Oryzias latipes: one gene and its partner. The protein of the gene in region 1 purifies or fractionates together with the protein of each later gene. This does not show direct contact. Links are inferred from orthologs where the notes say so. Each region holds a gene or a part of one and is shown on either strand. Other genes may lie near its edges. The genes, in order: cytosolic arginine sensor for mTORC1 subunit 1 and wdr59.

Region 1 (10,913 bases):
AGAAACATGGACACGGACTCGCCCACCGTATCAGTTCTTAACAAAAAATATTAAATTGGAATTGAAGCAGCTTCAAAGACCCGTTAAAAATAGGGTTTTTGGTGTTTTTAACATGTTCTTGTGTCCTTTTTCTGATTGCATTTCTTAGTATTTATTCAAGTTGTTGTGAATCAGGAGCAGAAAAAAAAATATTGCTTGAAAAAGATCGTATTTGTGAAAATATAGAAAAGGGGGGCCACAAACTCCGCAATGGGGGAGGGGGCAGGCCCACACCAATGGTCCCGCCCACAACTAGGAGGTACCTTTCTAATGACCTCCTGAACTGTGTCATAGAAAACGGCTGTTTTTTTATTTTTACCAAAAACCCCATAATCATAATTAAAAGACCACCAGATGATGGGAGTCAGACTTTAACAACCTATGAGCATATAAAGCGATCATTACTGGAAAAAAAAATCTTCAAGAGGAAGGAAAAACTTTGCCACAAATTTGCATTTGAACAAATTTGCCAAATGCCCTTGGTTAACTACCGTCTACAAAATGCTTGTAAAAAGAAAATAACCTCTATAAGAATTTCTTAAAACAGAGGACATAAGATATAAGTCATATAAAAATAAACTAACTTAAATAACATGGCACTGTAAAAAAGTTTACTTTAATAATCTACTGAATGAAAATAAAAACAACGTAAAGCGAGTTTGGGAAATATTAAATAACGTCATTAAAAATGGGACAAAAAGCCAAACATATCCAGAGTTCTTTACAGATGAGAAGGGTCAAAGCTTTAACATCAATGAAGCAGCAAACAGTCTCAATAACTATTTTGTAAACGTGGGTCCAGAGTTGGCAGCGGAAATTCCAAAATGCAAAACCAGCAAAGACAATAATCCACTCATCGAAAGGATCCCACACTCAATCTTTCTCTCTGATGTGAACCAAAATGAGCTGATATCAATTGTAGATAAATTCAAGAGTAACAACTCCAAAGATTGTGAAGATATAGATATGAAGGTGGTGAAAAAGGTAATTATTAGTATCTCTAAGCCTTTAACAGACATGTAACTTATCATTACAAACTGGGAGATTCCCAAACCAAATGAAAATTGCAAAAGTGATTCCGATCTATAAGAGTGGAGACAAACACCAATTTACAAACTATAGACCTGTCTCTCTTCTTCCACAATTCAATCATTTTAGAAAAAATATTGACAAATATAACTTTATAAATGAAAACTATCAGCTATCATTGATGCTGTGGAGGAAATCACAAATGCTCTGGACAAAAAGAAATATGCAGCTGGAATTTTCATTGACTTAAAAAAAGCATTTAACACTCTCAACCATGACATCCTACTTGACAAACTGGAAATGTATGGGATAAGAGGAATAGCGCTAACTTGGGTCAAAAGCTATTTAACGGGAAGAAAACAATTTGTCAAGATGAATCAGAAACCAAAGAGATAAGTTGTGGTGTCCCACAAGGATCAATCCTGGGCCCGCTACTATTCAATATTTACATAAATCTTCTTTTTCTTTCGGCTTTTCCCATCAGGGGTCGCAACAGCGAAACAACCACTCTTTCGAATATAAGTTGCATGGTTAACTTGGCAATGTTTTATGCCGGATGCCCTTCCTGATGCAACCCTCTCAATTTATCCGGGCTTGGGACCGGCACAGAAGCAGAGAAGGGAACACGGAGCAACCCGGATTCGAACCCTGGTTCCGCGGACGGAAGGCGCCGCAAACCAGCACGAGCTAAACTGGCTCCCAGGTATTCAATATTTACATAAATGATATGTATTTAATGTTTCAAAGCTTATGAAACTCACTTTGTTTGCTGATGACACAAACATATTCTATTGTACACATAATCATATGGAACTTATCAATGTGGTAAACACAGAGTTAAACAAAATAAAATTATGGATGGATTACAACATATTATCTTTGAACCTAGATAAAACCAAAGTGATGTTTTTTGGAAACGCAAATAAAGAGCTCTCAATTGAAATAAATAATATCTTAATTGAAAGTGTTACAGAAATCCAATTCTTAGGGGTTGTTATCGATGACAAACTAAAGTCTCAATAAGTATTTCAATCGTAAATAAATCTAAATTATATTAGAATACAACAGTAGATATTTATTGTACTGTTCTTTAATACTACCATATTTCACCTACTGTATAGAAATTTGGGGGAATAATTTTAAGCGCTCACTACATCCTCTCTTTCTACTTCAAAAACGTCAGAGTTGTACATAAAGCCGGATATCTTGATCAAATAAACAATTTATGTTATCAATCTAGACTTTTAAAACTGTATGACCTTGTGGATTTTTACACTGCACAACTTTTATACAGAGCCAGTGGGAAATCGTTACCATTCAATATCCAAAAACAGTTCTTAGAAAATGAAGGAGGAACAAACTGAGGGGATGTAGGAACTTTAAGATCAAACTGATAAGAACCACTAAGAAAAGTTTCTGTGTGTCGGTGTGTGGCACTAAACTTTTGAACGGGTCAAGTAATGAGCTTAAACAATGTTCAAATATCCAAATATTCTATAGTGTTTATGTAAAATAATTCTAACATCTTCAGAGCTATTGAGGATTTTTGACCAAATCTGATCCATTTGTAAATATGAAAAATTCCTGAAAATAAACAAATTGAAATATTGACATATTCTTTATTTTAGTATGACAATAAGTTCATGATTAGACCGTCCAGAAGGTTTGGTGACAGTAGCTTCAGTATCTTCATAACTATTGATAACTTTAGTCATGATTCATATCTATTAAAATTTGAAAAAGTATATGCAACAAGATAAAATAAAGATGGACCTTCCGACAAAATATTTATTGTGACACGAATATACTGACGAGTCTTCATTACCAGTTCATATAAATATAGAAATTTATTCTTTTTTGTGAGATTATTGATTTTTACAGAATGGTGTTTCACAGAGTTTGCACTTTGTTGACGGTCCCTTGGCTTGCTGCCCTTTCTGCATTCACAGCTTGAAGCAAACAATTCTGATTAACAGGCAAAAAAAAAAGAAGGTCTTTTTACTTTAGAAATGCATTTGCGGTTCACTCTCTGAGTTAATACAAAAGGATTGAGATACTTGCTGACACATTTGAACGTTTATCAGAAGAGTTATTGAGGCCGGAAGTCCTAATCTGTGAAGATCTTTCTAACTTTATCAAACCTCAGCTGCAAGAGAATTTAAAATGATGAATCCATGGTTCGCAAGTGAGACTCTGGAAAACCAACTCCGACAAGACAAGAAGACGCAGCAGCAGCTGAGTTTCCGCGGAAAAGGAAAGGCCTGTGTTGGAAGATCGACTCGAGGCTGAGCGCAGCAACTTCCAGCAGATGACAGTGAAAAGCTGTCCATCCTCCCCCCTTTTACTGGGACGCAGCGCCGGCGAGTTACGCCACACTTTGGGACTGCAACTAAAGCTGGGGCTGACGCGTCTGCTTTCACTGTTCTTTGGAGCCGCACGGCAACGAGACGGACTCTGACGATGACGTAGCTGGAAGCTGGTGTGTTTGATAGAAATTAAGCCCAGCTGACTTTGATGGATTTGTGGATGCTGATTGATGACTGAAAAAATGAAAAATAAATCACAACCAACTCAGTTTTGCGCTCGCTGCCTTTTTAAAACACACACCAGCATGCATGTTTTACTGGTATGTGTTAACGTTAAATACAAAAAAAAAAACACCCATAACTAACTGAAACAGTGCAGTTTAATCCAGTGCCGTTGTATTGTAAGGAGAGGAGTGTGTTATGGGAAATAATATGGCTTTAATTGCGTGTTTGTGTTTCTGGCAGGTCAGTGCGTGGTGTGACTCTTTGACTATCACAGTTAAAAATGTCGGCTCTTTGTGTCAAACTTGTTCGCCACCCCTTGTTAGTGTTAGAGGCTTTAAAAAAAAGGCGGATGTAACGTGGATTAAAACCTTAACCAACGACCCAAGACCAAGGTAAGAAAGTGCGGCTGGTTTTTTTGTGCTGCAAGTTTTTCTCATGTGTAAATCACTGCATTTGTTACCGTTTTAATCCTTTTAATCCACGTTACAGTCTTTTCTATTAAAGCCCCTAAAAGAAAGTCCTGCCTCGCTGGACATGACATGTAAATTTTAGCTAATCAGATCAACCAGAAAGGTTACTGCCCCCAAGTGACAAAAACGGCCCCTTAACACTGAGCGTAAATCCTGGTGAGGGCGCAAAAAGGAACTGACCACGCAGGATCCCCGCTCAGTGATTTGTTTTTTTTTGTTTTTTTAACTTGTCCTGTCCAACAGCTAGGCAGGCAGATGAGAGCTGAGGGCCTCTTGTGTTGGAAATATTTTACTTTAACAAGAGGGGTTATTAATCTTCAGACAAACCAAAGGTATGTCTGAATAAACCCCTTTTGTAATTGAGGCCAAACTTTATTAATTTCAATCATGTTTGAAAATCTTTGGTGTTGGACCGGACGGAAAAGGAAAGAGGGGAAGAAGAGAGAGGGACGTCAGAGAGAGGGGGGGGGTAGGGGGTGATAATAGGGGGGAGGGGGGGTAAGACCATGAAGCAGCATAAAGCAACAAGTTTACTGGTTGTTTATCATTACGGTACGGTTCAAATGTAGTACAAAAAGGGCGGGGCCTGTCCACACACACACTCAAATGTTATCAACACACCTGCTTGCTGCAAAAATGTCCACCTGTCGACAAGTCAACATGTACACAAAACAGACAGTGCCCGCACGCACACCCATGCCCCAAAACCAACTAGTGTGAAACACCTCACCCATTCCATCACGCAAACCACTAGTGCAAAGGCGAGCCAACACCCGCGCCCAGGCGAGCGCCCACGCTCCTCCAAAATGGATGGTGGAATGCGAAAAGAAGGAGGGAGAGCCCCGCTCAGTTATAATTGCAGGCCTGCAGTTGTAAAATGCTGGGTCGCTCGGGTAGTATTGCGCCTCCGCGGTTGTAAGGTTCACTCAATCACTTCCTGAATACGCCCGCTCAGTTGTCTTTACGCCCTTTTACTTTATGGCAGAGATGAAACGCCATACACACCGTCACAGCTCTATTCCAAACAGTGCCTGTGATGCGGCAGTAACACGGCAGCAATAAGGGAGTAACAGCACTAACAGGGCTGGTTAAACAAACATACCGGTAAAAGTCACTGAGAGCAGCAGTAACTTATACGGGTCTGCACGGCACGCGCCTTCTGTGCACTAAAACCATGGAAGTCTTCCTCCTCAGTGTAGGATTGGAACTTTAACTTGAAAATAAGCCGCAGGGTTGAAAGCGTGTGACAAAAATAGCGGTTTATAATCCGGAAATTATGATAAATATGTCAGAATGGTCGCTTAATGTGTGTATTTTTACTGGATGTTCGAAAAAAATAAATAAATGTTTTGAATTACCACCCATTTTTAAAACAGCAGACCAGAGTCAGCAAAACAACAAATAATGTCACTTGAAACTATGTCACACTCAAACTTTTTTATGTCAACTTCCTGGTTAACTTCAGCAGTAAACAAAACAAACATTGTTGATTTGGGCCTTTGACAAGAAATCCTGAACATGCTTTCATGACATTTTGTATTCTATTTTTATTCTAATCTATTTAATCCATTTTATTCTCTGAACATATTTCAGTAAACTGAACCTCGGTCTTCATCCACACTTAATAAGAGATTTATTTACTTCCCGTGTTTAGTTTATGTCTTTAAAATCCAACATTATTCTCCATTTTGGAGTGATAATTACATAGCATTAAGTGCCTTTCTACAACACTCCATTAGATCAAACTTCTCTTTTTTTTCAGCTAAAACCGATGCGTTTCAGTGGTAAGGCCCTCAGATTAGAGTCATTTCAAGACAACGTTGTGGGCAGAAGATGCCAGTTGTGACGGAGAACACCTTCAGAAACCACAATCAGAAAAAGGAAACCAACCATCCATCACGTAAGAATCATTAAAAGACCTTTTACTGAAGCAGTGTAGACTCCAGCAACCTACTTTTTTATGTCGACTGGATTGTGTTAAAAACAGAATGATAACAATAATAATAATTTATTTATAATGCAGCTTTCATTAAACATTACCTCAAAGTGCTACAACAAGATGTGAGAAAAAAAAGAACACTAAATAAAAATTAGCCAACTAAACAAAGCTAACTAAAAGCTAAAAAACTAGCACTTAACAATAAGGGTGTGACGGTAACCGCATCACCGTGGTGATGTTTGCTTTTTAATTTTTTTTTTTTTTTTAGTTCTGCATATGGTGCGTGATTGGAACTATAATCAACACATTTAACACATTCATCTTTGCTGATAATTCACTTTTTCTACTAGTCCTATGTGTTCAGACTTCAAAGGTTTCTGGGGGAAACTTTTCATTACTGTTCTCCTTCACTCCGTAACACCAAACATGAACACGCACTGTTAGAGTGCGATAAACATCACTACATGTTTTGTTTGGAAACTATTTTGTGCAGCGCAACGTTACGTGTCCGTATAAACAAAGGCGGAGCCTCCTGCCCCGCCTTCTTCATGGGTGTCAGGCTCACGGCTACTGGAAAGGTGACAAAGTGTCTGCTGTTTGGTATATTACTGGGCAATATATAATATTCTGAGAAGATGTCTGTACCAGAGAGCACAGGTGAAGCCTCGCGTGCAGCTGGAGAGCGATCCGCTGCAGAAGAATCAACACGCACCCCCAACACACTTGTGTGCGCTCCTTCCTCCAACACACGCAGCACGCTGACACACATACACAGTCATTGTACAACACCTATATGGTTAGTTCATTAGGTAGATAGGTAGTAGTGAGTTGTTACTGTTGTTTGTTAATAAAGAATACTGCGTTGTAATTGTATTCATTTGCGACGCGGCCACCGGGGGATTTTGTGTTTGGCGGTTAATCGCGACACCGCGCCCCCTGCTGGTTCATCACATCAAAAATCCCACACCGTCACAGCTCTACTTATTAAAGAGATGCCTTCAAAAGAGCTTTAAAAGAGTTCAGGGTCTGCGATGTTCTGAGATGTAAAGGAATGGAATCATTAAGACGGTGATGAAGCATGAAGAAATGTGTGTTTGGTTTTATCTTTTGGCACTCCCTTAATCATCCAGATGGTTTTAAATTCCTGCGGTGAGTGTAAAGGAGTTTCTCCTGTTGAACGGCAAAGGTACAGGAGTGGCGGTTTGATGGAAACTCACCAAAACGTGGTCGAAGCTGAAGGTACTGATGTAATAGGCAGAGATGTCGCCGTCAGCGAGAGGCTGCGATATCTGGGCGACGATGCCGCATTCATCTGGAAAGATAACACAAAATGAAGGAAAACGATGTCAGAAGAACTGAAATGAAACCATTTTCTTTACTTGAATAATCCATAAGGCAAACAAATATGGATATTGCACAGCTTGATAAATTTGTGATATATTGTGCAGGCCTAAAGGTTTCAAAGAATGCAGGCTGGAAGGTTGGCCCTCAGAACAAAGTCCAGACATCTACAGGCAACAACAGGTCGGTGGAAACCCAGAGAGCTCAGAGTGGAAGACGAGGACTTTCTTACCAAAACCAAGTGGCTGTCCTCCGATCCGGACCATTCTCCAAAGCTCCCCGGAGGAGCTGGTGAACAGAAGATCAGAAGGAAACCTAGAGGAATGAGAGAGAGAAGCTCCACTTCAATCAAATACAATTGATCATGAAATAGTAGAGGTAGAAACACCGACTCGCTTCGAGAACTAGTTCTTTGTCCTGACAAAACTCCACCAAGACGCTTTTATGTGAGGACTCATCTCTTTGAAGGACTTCACAGCAGTTTGCCGTCAGGCAGGAGAAAGTGAAGAGCCTTACTGTCGCTGGGCCTCAGAGTCCATCACCAGGGAGATGTATCCATCGATGAGGGAGAAGGAGAAGAACTTGATGCAGTCCAGCTCCTGGTCTGGAGATTCTTCTTTCGGACTAAAGGAGGAGAGGAGGACTGTTAAACAGAAACCTTCTTTGGTGACCGTTAAAGAGCTTTGGTGACACATCCATGAGTGGAAAATCTTTCTTTCACTAGAATTGATGAATAAGGGCAGCATTATTTCCCACCAAAGACTTTTAGACAAGCGTCTCGATGACGGCATCTTTTTCTGCTGCCGCCACACTAACCACATCTGGGTTGGGGCTTAGCGACGGTCGCACTCCGCCATCCTGTGGCTCAGACAGGTACTGCACGGCTGTGGGGGACGCAGCGTCTCACCTGCTGGAGTAAAAGAGGACGTCGATGAGCGTGGTGGCGATGGACGGCAGTGTGTCCGGGTCCAGAGACATGACACAGAACTGGTTCGGGGGGATCAGCACCGGGTGAACTGTCAGTTGGATGGCTGCAAAGGAAAAGGACAGTTACAAGATCATTTCAAAATAAACGCCATCAAATAATATAAATATATCTTTGGATATCAAAAAGCATTTTTATGCTTAAAAATGACAATTTTAAGGATCTTTTAGAATATTGGAGTAAATTAAAGTGGTTTAAAGGGGAGTCATCGACTTTTTTTTTTTTTTTAACCAGAAATACAACAGTTTGTGTGTGTTTTAATGTAAATCCATTCTCTTTTAGATGCAATCACAAAAGCTGATTCTGACATAGAAATGCATGGTTTGAAAACACAGCAAACATACATGTTCTAACCTTTCCATTTGTTATTTTTAAAAATGTTTTGAAAATCGATGACGAAACATGAAGCAAAGACTGTGATGATGCATGTTTGAATGCAGACAGCTACCACTGATAAAATGTATCATATATGGAAATGCTGGAACTTCCAAAGTAACTTCGTCATGCTCACTTGGATAAGGAAGTTTTAGCAAGAAAAAAAAAAAGTAGGAGAAATCTAAAAAAAAAAAAGAAGAAAAAAAGTAGAAAAACTGCAATCCTTCCATGTTTCGTGTTATGACTTGACAAACTGCAGCCGGCTCAGATCTGGTCTGAGGAAGCTGCAGAAGAGGCATCAAGCCACTGAGGAGGCTTCTGCACAACATTGACAGCAACCAAAAAGAAATAAATGATTGAGCAGTCACACAATCTTTGTGCACCAGATTCTCTTTTCTACAGTTGTAGCTTTTGGAACTTCTACAGAGACCACACGAACTACACCTGCAGGAAAGAGCAGTTAGTTCCATGTCCGCACACATTTTTTATAACTGATTCTTCGATGGAAAGACCATTAACAACCTTTTACACACAGATTGCTCCCTTCCAGTCTAAAAGAAGTGTTCCCCTAATTCCTTTAAACCAACTATTGCAACAAAATAAAAGCATGTGATTCGTGCTCAGTGGCTCCAGTCTATGTGCTCAGTTCAGTTGTTTCTGTGCAACCCTTTGCTGCACAATTTGGCTCAAAAAGCTGAATATTATGAACACACAAAGTGATAAATATTTACTCAACTGTGTGCTTTTAAACCATCCATGCACTTTAAATGAAAGACTTTTAAAAACTTATTTTATTTTTCTTTCTAGAAAGGTTCAAACTTTTTTGCAAGCTTTAATCAAACCTCAATCTGGTAGTTTTAACATTGGTTTGGGGGGAGTTTAGGGAGGGCACAGAGAAGGGCTGACAGTGCTGTACAACCAATCAGGCACTTTCCTTGAATTTACATAAGTATTTGCGATTTCTGTTTACATTTTTTCCCAAAAACGTGTGGTCAGCTTCAAACGTTTTTCCCCAAAAATGCATCTGAACTGCATTGTGCACCTTCTTTGCTGTTCTTCTGAAGGTTGTGTGTCACATCCTGGCAACGCACGGGGACGGACTCTCCCTCCACCTCCTGGTAAATGCTGAATTCTTCCTTTAAGGTGCTGACAACCACAGACAGGTCTTTCTCTCTCACCTGTACCCCAATCATTTGAGAGGAAAATTTTAATTACAAAAGATCTGTTTAAAAAAACCAAAAACACTTGAGTTTAATCATTAAAGTGATTGCTGACACAGGCGTGCGATGCATTTTTGCCCACCTAACATTTCTTGCATGTAATACATCAACCAACTTTGGAGTGTTTGTCAGCTCTGCTGGGAATTAATTATGTAAAATGCAAACACGGTGAATTCCTTTGTCTGGCAGCAGCTGAAAGACCGTCTGGAGGCATCAAAGGAAAAGTCTTCTGAATTAATTTTAAAAAAAGGAGGAAGAGGAGGTCTCTCACCAGGATGAAGTCAGTCTGATATGTGGACAGCATGAATACAGAGACGTGCTGTTGGGCCAGGGGAGCGATGACCGACTTGGCAATCTTGGTCACGCCGACCGCCTGGGAGCTGCTGGAGACGTTGCCGTTGGAGACCACGTTGAGTGGCAGCCAGGTGGAGCTCTCAACCTGGAGGTGCTCTGAGGGCTGCAGCTCTGAGGAAGAAGACATCAGTGGCCCAAAGTCAAACCCGTGCCGTGTATCTGAATGGTTTACATTCTAAAAAAAAATGCACTTAAAATACCAGCAGGGGGCGACTTATGGTCCTGAAAAAAAAATCCAATCAAAAGGGTTTTTGGTGTTTTGTGTTGGTGTTCTCGTAGCATTTTTCTCATGATGGCGGATATATTGAAAGAAAAAGAAGGTGAAAACTGCTTCCCTGAGGTCAAAGGTCAAACCAATATAGCAATACGCAGATAAAAAAACAGATTAGAAAACCTAGAAAGGTCAGCTGTGAAGGCACGGCAGTGGAGGAACACTTTGGCTCTAAAACGCTCAAAAATTCAAATTGAAATTAAACGTCAAATACAATTCTTTGGATGGCAGAATGAAGCTTTTTTCTTCCTACATACTTTACAATAATTCTGATCGTTTGTTATTCATTCAAACTAGTGATATTAATAAAATGATGGGTCAAAACCTGCAGATTTTGCATCCTATAAAAATGCTTTTCA
Region 2 (11,422 bases), on another chromosome or scaffold:
GGTAGTGGCTCAGGTGGTTGAGCAGGTCAGCCGTTCGAACCCCGCTCCCTCCAGTGTCGATGCGTCTGGACGTCCCGGCAGCCACGCCTCTGTCGGCGGAACTGAATGACCGATGGAAAGGATTGTGGGCCAGAATCCCTCCCGGGTCATGTGATGGGTTCCTCTGAACTACAACTGGGTTTGCTTTGATCTCGTGTTCTCATGGGTTCTTACCTTTTACTGTTTCAACCTTTGTTTCATGTTGGCGATCTTTCTCAGACGCCGTGCGAATAACCTCAACCTAAAACATCGACGGATTCAGAAAAACCTTCCGATGGTAAACCGCAGAGGCTCGTGGTCGTGTGACGCCTCTGCAGGTATTTCTCATCTCTGTGGCGTCCCCATCCTGGCAGGATGTGATGCCTTCAGAAATGGGCGGGGCACACGGATGACTGACCACGTCCAGCTGAGTCGCTGGACCGTCACGACTCGGTGGCTAAAGACGGACCTGGTGGACACTCGCTGAACAGACCCGGGTCTGTGACCCGGCTCAGGAGGAAGTGAAGGTTCTGTTACAGATTTTAGCCCCGCCCCCTGTGACCCACACAGCCTGTAATGTCTGAAGTTTATTAGGACACGACGTTACACACAACCCGCTGGACTGCGGAAAGTTCTGGTTCTGCTCAAACGGACTGAACCTCCATCACTTCTTCTTGACAAACTTTTTGCGGGCGGCGTTGGGGTTGGCCCGCCTCCTGCCGCCACCGCACTGACCGTCTCTGATCTGCAGGTTGGCAGCGCGGCTGTAGACGTCGTTCTGGCTAAAGGGGGAGGATCCCGCCACGTAGTCCGGGTCGAAGACGTCGGTCTTCTGCCGGGCCTTCCTGGAGAGGCGCTGCTGGGGGAAGCGCTGGTCCTCCACCAGGTGGGGGTTGTCTCCGTGTTTCCCCCCCTGAGGCAGCGGCAGAGAGTGCTGCGGCGCAAACACAAGCAGGTCACATGACTTCCAACCACATAGGCCCCTCCCACCCCGCCTCTCACCCGCAGTCCTCTGGAGTTCAGAACTTTGGGGTTTCTGGAGAAATGCATCTTGGTGGTTCCGTCATCGTTCAGCGTCACCGCCACCTTCTTCATGGTTCTGTTCCCGCAGTGCGGACAGAACACCTTCGCCATGCTGCTGGTCGTCCTGCAGACAGAGGCCCGCCTCAGTACCCGGCGCCGCCGTCCTCGGTGGGTTTGTGTGGGCGGGGCGCTCACCTGAAGCAGGCGTGACACCTCAGGATGTAGTTCCTCGCCTGTCTGATCACCATCCCGCCGACGGAGAGGACGTGGAGGCCCATCTGGATCAGAACGTTCTGGAAACACAGGTTGGACAGTGTTCTGGAGACCTCATCTGCACTTTACCAGCAGAACCGCGCAGACAGAACCGGAACGCTCATTCAGGAACTCCTTTTTTTAAATTCTCCACCAGAACCAGTACGCACCTGCATGGCGAAGTCGGTGGTCAAACATCCAACTGTGACATCAGCAGGAGCCGTCCAATCAGCAGACTCCATCTTGACTTGTCTGATGTTACTGGGAGTGATCCAGCCCCCGCCGTCAGGCTCCTCCTCCTCTGGTTCGTTCTCTTTATCCTCGTCATCCGACCGGTCTTCAGCTGAAGGGTCTGACCGAGAGGCTCCGCCTTCATCCTGTGAGGAGGACACACCTTACTGGAGGAGGAGTTGGGGGCGTGGCCCCCCGTGGTAACCTTCACTAACCAGTAGGGCCAGCAGCTCGTCGCTGATGATGGGCGTCGGCTCCCTCCAGAACTGAAAGCTGTTGAAGTGCTCTCCGTCCGCCGCCTCGCTCCGTCCGTCATGTGACTCCTCCTCCGGACCCTGAAGGAGCAACACCTCATGCTGACAAAACCCACAAGGCCCCCAGGCGGCGCCACCTGCTGACACTCACCAGTGACGCCAGCAGGTCGTTGTCGAGCGGCGCCACGGGTTCCCTCCAGAACTGGAAGCTGTTGAAGCTCTCGCCGTCTTTGTGGTCGTGAGTCTGTGTGTTTGAAGCTTCTGTCGCCTTCTGAGGAGGAGGGGGAGACAAGCAGACGAGCTCCTGAGGAGATCCAGACGTCTGCGGCGCCGCCGGGGGCCCAAACGCTCCTTACCTTGGAGGGAAAGTGGAAGCCGGGGACGTTGACCGGAGTCTCGGGGTGGCGCGGCGTGCTCTGGATGTTCACCTGCAGCAGCGGCTCCTCCCTCAGGTGCTCCGCCCCCTCGTGCTCCAGCTGCAGCTGGTAGGTCAGAGCCAGAACGCGGATGTCGGTGGCGGACAGACTCGGGTAGTCGCCGGTCTTCTTGGAGAACTCGGTCACTGGAGAACGTCAGACGGGAAAGAATCAACAAACCCAGCCAGCTCAGAAAATGTCCCCCAGCTGAGCAGCAGCCCAACAGCTGTCAATCTGCACCACTGACCAACGGAGCGGTCAGTGGGCGTGGTCAGAGAGGACACCAGAGGTCAGAGGTCATCTGCCTCCTTCATGGCAGATGACCTCTGATAAAATTTTTCATCATGGAGGTGAAAAAATTCAAAGCCTCAAAAATTTCACACTCAGCATTAATCTCCATGACAACGGTCGAAAGGGGCGGGGTCAGTGCCATGTTTTGGTGCGCGTGGTGCGTTCAGGTGCGGTCTGTGTAATGGTTACAGCTGAGTAAAGTGCCATGTTTTGGTGCGCGCGTGGTGCGTTCAGGTGTCACCGTGTCTGACGTGCTCCGGATGCGGCTCCCTGAAGTGCAGCTGGTACGGCAGCACAGCCAGGCTCCTCCGGGTCTCTTTGTCCCGGATCTCGTCCACCACATCCCGCAGCGTGTAGATGTTCGCTCCGATCTCCTGGATCACAGATCAGGGCCTCAGATCCGGACACGCCGATGCCCCCCCACCCCCCACACCCACATTCCGGTCTCGCGGCATCTCCCAAATACCTGCACACCCTCTCACCTGTCCGCGGATCACGTGTTCTCACCTGTAGAGGTGCTCTCTTCAGAAACGCACCGGCGTCAGCGACAACATGCTCCACCAGGGTCGGCGCCATCTTGGTAAACGAGCAGCCACATCAACGACCAATCACAGGGCAGACGGCTGTCACGTGCCTCGAGCTTTCAAGCGCACTGGGAAAGTGAGGTTGGCTTCCACGTGACCGGCTTTGATTACCATGGTGATGCCTTCACTGCCTCTTCGGAGAATTCAGTATTTAAAATCACCGAATTGTTTTGCAATTTCAAATATTGTTCAGCTTTGACGAAAAATTTTAAAATGTTTTTTCAAGTTAAACTGTATTTTTATTTAGAAATAAAAATGTTTTGCAGTTGTGGAAATGTGAAGATTTCCACAGATCTAAGCAAAAACAAAAGGAAATTTCAGGAATTTATTTCTGAGATTGTGTATAATTAGAACGTTAACATTATTCTAGATTGAAGTGAGAAAATTAAAAAAGGTTGATCAGGAAAAAGATTCCTCATCAAGTTTATTTATAGAGCAGTTTAACACAATTAAATCTAAATAAAACTCTGTACATTAAAAGCTTAACAAAATAAAGTCAAATTTAATAAATAAATGAATAAAAACATAAAAGCCAAAATGAACGAAAACATAAAGATTAATTGATTTAACCAAAAAATAAACATTTACTGTTTCAGGTTTTTCACGTGTTTATTAATCCATGCACATCTTTTTAGGGGGAATCCTTAAACCTGATATGCTTGTGTTGTTGGTTTTTTCTACATCCGGCTCCTTCGGGTCACGTGACATTTGTTGACAGGGAAGGAAGATGGCGGCGCGCTGGAGCAGCGAGAATGTGGTGGTGGAGTTCCGGGACGCTCAGGTGTCGCTTTGGTCTTTATCTGACGTTTCTTTGTTTTTCTCTGACTTTAGAACAGATTTGCTGACAATTTTGTCACATTTTATCCGTTTGTTAAAGTAGAAATACGTTTGTCACGTGGTCTGGACTGAACGGCAGGCGGTTTCTTTGAAGCCGCTTTTTTGTGTTTAGTAATTATTCTCTCCTCTACTGCTGGGGGGTATTCCAGAAAGCAGGTTATGCTAGCTCCCACGATAAGTTTGAGGCTAAGGAAGTTGATAACCTCAGCTTTTGGTTCCAGAAATGGAGGTATGTTTCAGGGTAGGTCAAGTTACCATGGCAACTCATGCTCTGAACGTAACCTGGTCTGGAGCAGGTTTAGTTGAAGGTTAGTTTGTTTTCAGAGAGGTGAAGCAGCATGGCGTGTCCATTTGAAGAGGATTTAGTGGATGAAGAAGCTCAGATAATACTTTTTCCACCATGAGAGGGTGATAAGACCACAAATGGATGTTGGAAAGATAAACTTTATACTTTGATCTAACTTCATTATTTGCTTCAGTTAAGATAAATCATTTTTTTTGTTAGAAATTTTTTTGTTAAAAATAACACGTAGTTTTCAGACAGTTATTTTCCTTTCGTTCAAATTAATTCAATTAAGTAGGTGTAACTTTGATGCTGCTGTTAGATCGGCACCGCAAGGGATTGTGGGAAATCATTCCCTTTGCCTGTCTGGACGGATTTGGGTTAAAGTGTGGCTTTTTGACCAAATGTTTTAGTTGTATAGCTGTTTTACTGTGTTTCTTCGTGTTTGGCCGAGCCAATTTGTCCTACTATGCTTACGTCTCTGCACCATGAGTGAGAGTGAAGGAGAGGATGATGAGTTTATTTAGCACCCCTACAGCTAAGTACTGTTATGACAGTGACGGGAAATTCTTTAGTGAGTTTTTGCACTCGGTGCATTTTTTTCCGTTTCTTTTTATTGTTATAAAAATGAGCATATCTGCCGGCTCAAACTTAGACATATGAAAGTTCAAGAAATATAAGTAATTAAGATGGAAAAAAGATTAATGGAGTAATGTGACATTTAGTTAGATAAATACGTAAATTTGAGTTGTATAAACAATTATTGAGTTTGAATAAATTTAACTAAATTATCTTTCAGCCGTGTTACTTTTTTGATGGACTTATAATTTCTATCCGCCGTCATTAAAATCTCAGACTCCGTCTCAAGTGTCGCGCTTTCTTTTTTTTTCTCCACGCGTTTCCATGGTGACTCCAGAAATCGGCGATCTATTGAGAATGTCTTTATGTACCGTGCGTTAACCCAGGGTTACCAAGTCGAGCGTAATTACGCCAACTCATATCCGGTCTTTTGGAACCGACATACCCAGAGTAAGCAAGTTCAGGCGGATTTCAGCCAGAGTTCAGGCTTAAAGTCAGGCTAGTTTAAACATGCTTCCTGGAATACCCCCCTGATCCCAGCAGCTGAGCTGTTCTTGATCCAAAACTTTAGTAGGAAAACACGTTTTCCAGACGATATCAGGAATAAACTAGTCAGCAGACGCTGTTCTTAACAAAATGAAGACCAAATTCTGAAAGTATTAGAGTGGATGGATCGATTCTCTGAAGCTTCTGGACGAAGCGGAAAACTGATGAAGTATTTACTACAGCCCATAAATATCCACACAGCTGTAAGATTGTTGTAAAAAGTCGAATATTAGGCTTTAGTTACTGCAGAGGAAACATGGACTATGTGTAAAGATGTGATAGAATGATGTCAGACAGCATTTGGCTGCAGAGATGTGACTGTTTGGGAGGAACTCTTGAAAGAAAGTAATAGAGTAACTCTTGAAAGAAAGTAATAGAGTAACTCTTGAAAGAAAGTAATAGAGTAACTCTTAAAATAAAGTAATAGAGTAACTCTTTAAAGTAAGTAATAGAGTAACTCTTAAAAGAAAGTAATAGAGTAACTCTTAAAAAAGTAATAGAGTAACTCTTAAAAAGTAATAGAGTAACTCTTAAAAAGTAATAGAGTAACTCTTAAAAGAAAGTAATAGAGTAACTCTTAAAAAAGTAATGAAGTAACTCGTAAAATAAAGTAATAGAGTAACTCATAAAATAAAGTAGTATAGTAACTCATAAAAGTAAGTAATGGAGTAACCCTTAAAATAATGTAATAGAGTAACTCAGTGTTTTTCCACCTTGTTTGAGTCAAGTTACACTTTGTCCTTGATAAAAATCTCACACCAGCATCCAAAAGTGAAAAAGCAGAAACTGTAAAGTATTTCTGATCTTTCATATTCCTAAGTACTCCGTGTTTTATCAGGGCCTGTTCAGATGAACGCTGAGCTGAAATGTTTCTACATCAGTTTCCCACACTAACACTGGAGGAACCGTTCCTGTTCCTACAGGAAGAAAGGCTGAACGAGCAAACATATTTCACAATAAAGCTCCGCTTTGCGGTGAAGAAATTCAGTTTTGTGATTAAAAACATTCAAACAATTTTTGAGACATTTTGTGAACTTTTTCTTCTCCAATAAAAACGGTGCTGCAGAATGATGACATCAGAGAATCCCATTTTCTCAAATCCTGTCCTACATAAATCTACAGAAGTGACTTTTAAAATACTGAACCAGTTTTATCCTTAAAGAAATTCTGAATGTTTGTTTTCTGTGAAAATGAGGCTGAAACTGTTTGGAATTCATCTTTTCATAATCAAAATATTATAGTAGAATGATAAAAATGTAGACTCTATGATCTATGCATTGGTTTACATCCCATAATATTATAAATTGATTTTGATAATATTATAGTTGATTTTCCTGCTGGGGTTTCAGCGTCACATGACAGGAGTGTTGTCCTCATGCGTGTGTGTTTGTTAGTGTGTGCTGTGTAGCTGTGCGTTTAGAGTCTGCACCCCGTCGCCGCGGTAACGGTGCAGCCTGTTCTCTGTTTCAGGCCACAGCCATGTCTGTGGACTGCCTGGGTTCTCACGCTGTTCTGTCCGGGTAAGCCGCCGTCACCTGAACGCATCGTAACCTGAACGCACCGTCACAGCTCAGTTTAGTGGGTCTGATCTAGAATGTTGCATGATGGGAGTTGTTGTTTTGACCTGCAGCCGCCGCTTCCTCTACTTGGTGGATCTGGAGGCGCCGTCGGAACCACCGCGTAAAATCGGGCGCCACAGTAAATGGGACGTGGGGACGGTCCAGTGGAACCCCCACGGCTCGGAGGCCCACATCTTCGCTGCCTCGGTGAGTTCTGCTGTTCAAGGTCACATGATCAGAAACCCAGAGAGCTGAAAATGAGGGAGATGCGCATGTGAAGCAGCAGGTTCTGTTAGAACAAAGGAGCGGAGTGGTTCTGATGGAAGAGCAGAGATTCTGTGTGTCGACCATAAACGAGGCGTTCAGGTTCTCCTGTGTTCATCAGACAAAGCTGTCCACTCCAGACGCCATCTCTGTTGAACCCTGTGTGTGTTTGTGCTCCAGAGTAACCAGCGGGTGGACTTGTACTCCTGGAGGGACGGCTGTGGCGAGGCCCACTCCTCCCTGCAGGGACACACCCGCGTCATCAGGTAGAGCGGTGACGCAGATGCACCTGTCTGCAGGTGAACCGGGTCGGTCTCACTCTGGCCCGTTTGTGTCCTCAGTGATCTGGACTGGTCCTGGTTCGACCCGGAGCTCCTGGTCACCAGCTCTGTGGACACGTACATCTACATCTGGGACACCAGGTCAGTGGGACCCCCCCCCCCCCACACACACACACCTTAATCTGACCCTGACCCCCCCTCCCCCTAATTCTGCCTGCTTCTCTGCAGAGACGCCCGTAAACCCACGGTGGCGCTGTCTGCTGTCGGTGAGAGAATCTGGATGCTTGACCTGAACCGGGTCGGTCTCGGGTCTGTCTCTGAACGGATGTCTGTGTTCTGCAGCCGGGGCGTCTCAGGTGAAGTGGAACCGGAAGAACCAGAACCTGCTGGCCTCCAGCCACGACGGAGATGTTCGGATCTGGGATAAAAGAGTGAGTCTGGCTGAAGGTCCAAACCTTTTGTTTTCCTGCAGCCTGAAAGATGAAGAAAGGGGCGGAGTCTAATGTTCCCTCATCTGCTCATTCAAATCAGAAGGAAATCGCTGAACTTGAGCTAGTTCACCTTTGACCTCGTTAGCGTCTTTTCCCCCCGTGACTCCTGCTGGCTCCTCTTTCTGGTGTCTCCTCTGAACAGAAGCCCAACACGGCGGTGGAGTACGTGGCCGCTCACCTGTCCAAGATCCACGGCCTGGACTGGCATCCGGACGGCGAGTTTGTCTTCGCCACGTCCAGTCAGGACAACTCCGTGAGGGTGAGACCTGCCGCCCGTCCAGACCGGAACCCGTTCTCCTGAGGACACAGAGAGCAATAATGCTGACTTTGTGTGCAGTTCTGGGATTTCCGACAGCCCAGGAAGTACCTGAACATCCTGTCCTGCCAGGTACCGGTGTGGAAAGCCCGCTACACGGTTAGTCCAGAGAACCTCATGAGAGGAACCCAAACACAGGAAGTCCAGGAAAAAGACGCATCTTTTCTGACAGATATCTAAAAATGCGATTAAGAAAAAGAGAAAGGTGTAAAAAAGTTTGAACGAGCTGAATGAGCGGCTTCCCTCCGTTTGCAGCCGTTCTCCAACGGGCTGGTCACCGTGATGGTTCCTCAGCTCCGGAGGGAGAACAGCCTGCTGCTGTGGAGCACGCTCGACCTGAACAGCCCCGTGCACGCCTTCGTCGGACATGACGACGTGGTTCTAGAGTTCCAGTGGAGGCCGCAGAAAGCAGGTGACGCCCTGATGACCCCCCAGCGGCAGACGAGCAGCAACCAAATGTGGTTCTGACTAGGGTTGTGCCGATGGACGATATCATCGTCCATCGTGATGGGTGACTGACATCCCGATGGAGAGACCACCATCGTGATGCCACGCCCCCGCCACGTTGCGCGTCGACACCATAAGCCGCGGTTACATGTACAAAATATCTTGATGGGATCAATGGTCAGATTAGAATCCAACCGTGTAAATGGGCCCAGAAAAATGTTTTCAGAATATAAAAACGTTCACTAAGGTCACACTTTCCGTCGGAATAAATCATTCGCACATGCGCAGTAGGGTTTGAAAACCGGAAGGATATAAATTCCGCCGAGCGGCTTTTTTTTTTTCAAACTTTATTATATACATTGACATGCCAGCTCGGTAATATACGAGACGATCTTCTAAACCTGCTTTTAATAATGTTACGGTTATTATGAAACACCTGTTCGCTCATCATTTGAATTTTAATCCGTGTGGTCAGTGCTTTTTCTGAACGTAGCCAGGATTAGCAGTATGCTAACACGGGCTAACAACATTAGCTTTGGGTGGTGCTGCTTGCTGGCTGCATGTAAACGTGTAAGAATAACATCAGCCTTTATTTAGTCGGGACACGACTGGAAACACAAATCCGCGTGATTTTTTGAATGTTTTCTAAGGACTGAGCGACATTTCTGCTTTGAAGCTCAAACCGCTGTGTGTGCTGACGATCCGAGCTGTGCTCAGACACACACTTTTAGACCCGGTTCTGAGTTCGGTTGCATGTACCCCTAGAGCTGCGGGACGGATCGCAGTCTTAAATCTCCCACACATACCGCTCATGTACCCCCCCCCCCCCCCCTTCCCATCAAACACAAAGCTGTAAGTCCGCGGAGCGGACTACTTCTTTTCTATTTTGTTTGTTACTTTTTTGTTAAAGTCACTTCCCTCAGTTTATACTGGATCATCGCGGATTAGTCATTAGTTGGGAAATAAAATGAAAAAAGCAAACCCTCAAAGCGAACCCTAGTTCTGACAGGCTGGAAGGGCTGCATCACTACGGCTAATGCTAAACACTATCTGCTAATGCTAAACACTACTGCTAATGCTAAACACTACGGCTAACGCTTAACACTACGGCTAATGCTAAACACTACGGCTGACGCTAAACACTACGGCTAACGCTAAACACTACGGCTAACGCTAAACACTACGGCTAACGCTAAACACTACGGCTAACGCTTAACACTACGGCTAACGCTTAACACTACGGCTAAAGCTAAACACTACGGCTAACGCTAAACACTACGGCTAATGCTAAACACTACGGCTAACGCTAAACACTACTGCTAATGCTAAAAACTATTTGCTAACGCTAAACACTACGGCTAACGCTAAACACTACGGCTAATGCTAAACACTACGGCTAACGGTAAACACTACTGCTAATGCTAAAAACTATTTGCTAACGCTAAACACTACTGCTAATGCTAAACACTATCTGCTAACGCTAAACACTATCTGCTAACGCTAAACACTATCTGCTAACGCTAAACACTATCTGCTAACGCTAAACACTATCTGCTAACGCTAAACACTACGGCTAATGCTAAACACTACGGCTAACGGTAAACACTACTGCTAATGCTAAAAACTATTTGCTAACGCTAAACACTACTGCTAATGCTAAACACTATCTGCTAACGCTAAACACTATCTGCTAACGCTAAACACTATCTGCTAACGCTAAACACTATCTGCTAACGCTAAACACTATCTGCTAACGCTAAACACTACGGCTAATGCTAAACACTACGGCTAACGCTAAACACTATCTGCTAATGCTAAACACTACGGCTAGTGCTAAACACTATCTGCTAACGCTAAACACTACGGCTAACGCTAAACACTATCTGCTAACTCTAAACACTACGGCTAACGCTAAACACTACGGCTAACGCTAAACACTACGGCTAATGCTAAACACTACGGCTAACGCTAAACACTATCTGCTAATGCTAAACACTACGGCTAGTGCTAAACACTATCTGCTAACGCTAAACACTACGGCTAACGCTAAACACTATCTGCTAACTCTAAACACTATCTGCTAACGCTAAACACTATCTGCTAATACTAAACACTACGGCTAACGCTAAACACTATCTGCTAACGCTAAACACTATCTGCTAACGCTAAACACTATCTGCTAACGCTAAACACTATCTGCTAACGCTAAACACTACGGCTAACGCTAAACACTATATGCTAATGCTAAACACTACGGCTAGTGCTAAACACTATCTGCTAACGCTAAACACCATCTGCTAACGCTAAACACTACGGCTAACGCTAAACACTACGGCTAACGCTAAACACTACGGCTATCGCTAAACACTACGGCTAACGCTAAACACTACGGCTAATGCTAAACACTACGGCTAACGCTAAATACTACGGCTAACGCTAAACACTATCTGCTAACGCTAAACACTACGGCTAACGCTTAACACTACGGCTAACGCTAAACACTATATGCTAACGCTTAACACTACGGCTAACGCTAAACACTACAGCTAACGCTAAACACTATCTGCTAACGCTAAACACTACGGCTAACGCTAAACACTACGGCTAACGTTAAACACTACGGCTAACGTTAAACACTACGGCTAACTCTAAACACTATCTGCTAACGCTAAACACTACGGCTAACGCTAAACACTACTGCTAATGCTAAAAACTATTTGCTAACGCTAAACACTACGGCTAATGCTAAA

Evidence for each region.
Region 2: the proteins of cytosolic arginine sensor for mTORC1 subunit 1 (region 1) and wdr59 purify together in Homo sapiens (affinity purification with mass spectrometry; 3 studies listed by BioGRID and IntAct, counting the BioPlex papers as one, with this or other methods). This does not show direct contact. The link is inferred for Oryzias latipes from reciprocal best matches to the Homo sapiens genes CASTOR1 and WDR59.

What each region holds. Positions count from the first base shown.
Region 1 is NC_019867.2:3,163,439-3,174,351, forward strand, and holds part of cytosolic arginine sensor for mTORC1 subunit 1, read right to left. Parts: intron 10,395-10,913; coding exon 10,201-10,394; intron 9,888-10,200; coding exon 9,752-9,887; intron 8,381-9,751; coding exon 8,257-8,380; intron 7,974-8,256; coding exon 7,866-7,973; intron 7,665-7,865; coding exon 7,582-7,664; intron 7,321-7,581; coding exon 7,226-7,320; intron 1-7,225. UniProt on the Homo sapiens protein: Functions as an intracellular arginine sensor within the amino acid-sensing branch of the TORC1 signaling pathway. As a homodimer or a heterodimer with CASTOR2, binds and inhibits the GATOR subcomplex GATOR2 and thereby mTORC1.
Region 2 is NC_019861.2:37,926,785-37,938,206, reverse strand, and holds the start of wdr59 (GATOR complex protein WDR59), read left to right. Parts: upstream 1-3,682; 5' UTR 3,683-3,796; coding exon 3,797-3,850; intron 3,851-6,784; coding exon 6,785-6,834; intron 6,835-6,944; coding exon 6,945-7,080; intron 7,081-7,317; coding exon 7,318-7,403; intron 7,404-7,478; coding exon 7,479-7,559; intron 7,560-7,646; coding exon 7,647-7,684; intron 7,685-7,760; coding exon 7,761-7,849; intron 7,850-8,051; coding exon 8,052-8,168; intron 8,169-8,246; coding exon 8,247-8,324; intron 8,325-8,480; coding exon 8,481-8,637; intron 8,638-11,422. Other genes in the region: RNA-binding protein NOB1, read right to left, coding at 683-952, 1,021-1,165, 1,237-1,334, 1,464-1,670, 1,740-1,859, 1,930-2,049, 2,135-2,340, 2,727-2,859 and 1 more. UniProt on the Homo sapiens protein: As a component of the GATOR2 complex, functions as an activator of the amino acid-sensing branch of the mTORC1 signaling pathway. The GATOR2 complex indirectly activates mTORC1 through the inhibition of the GATOR1 subcomplex.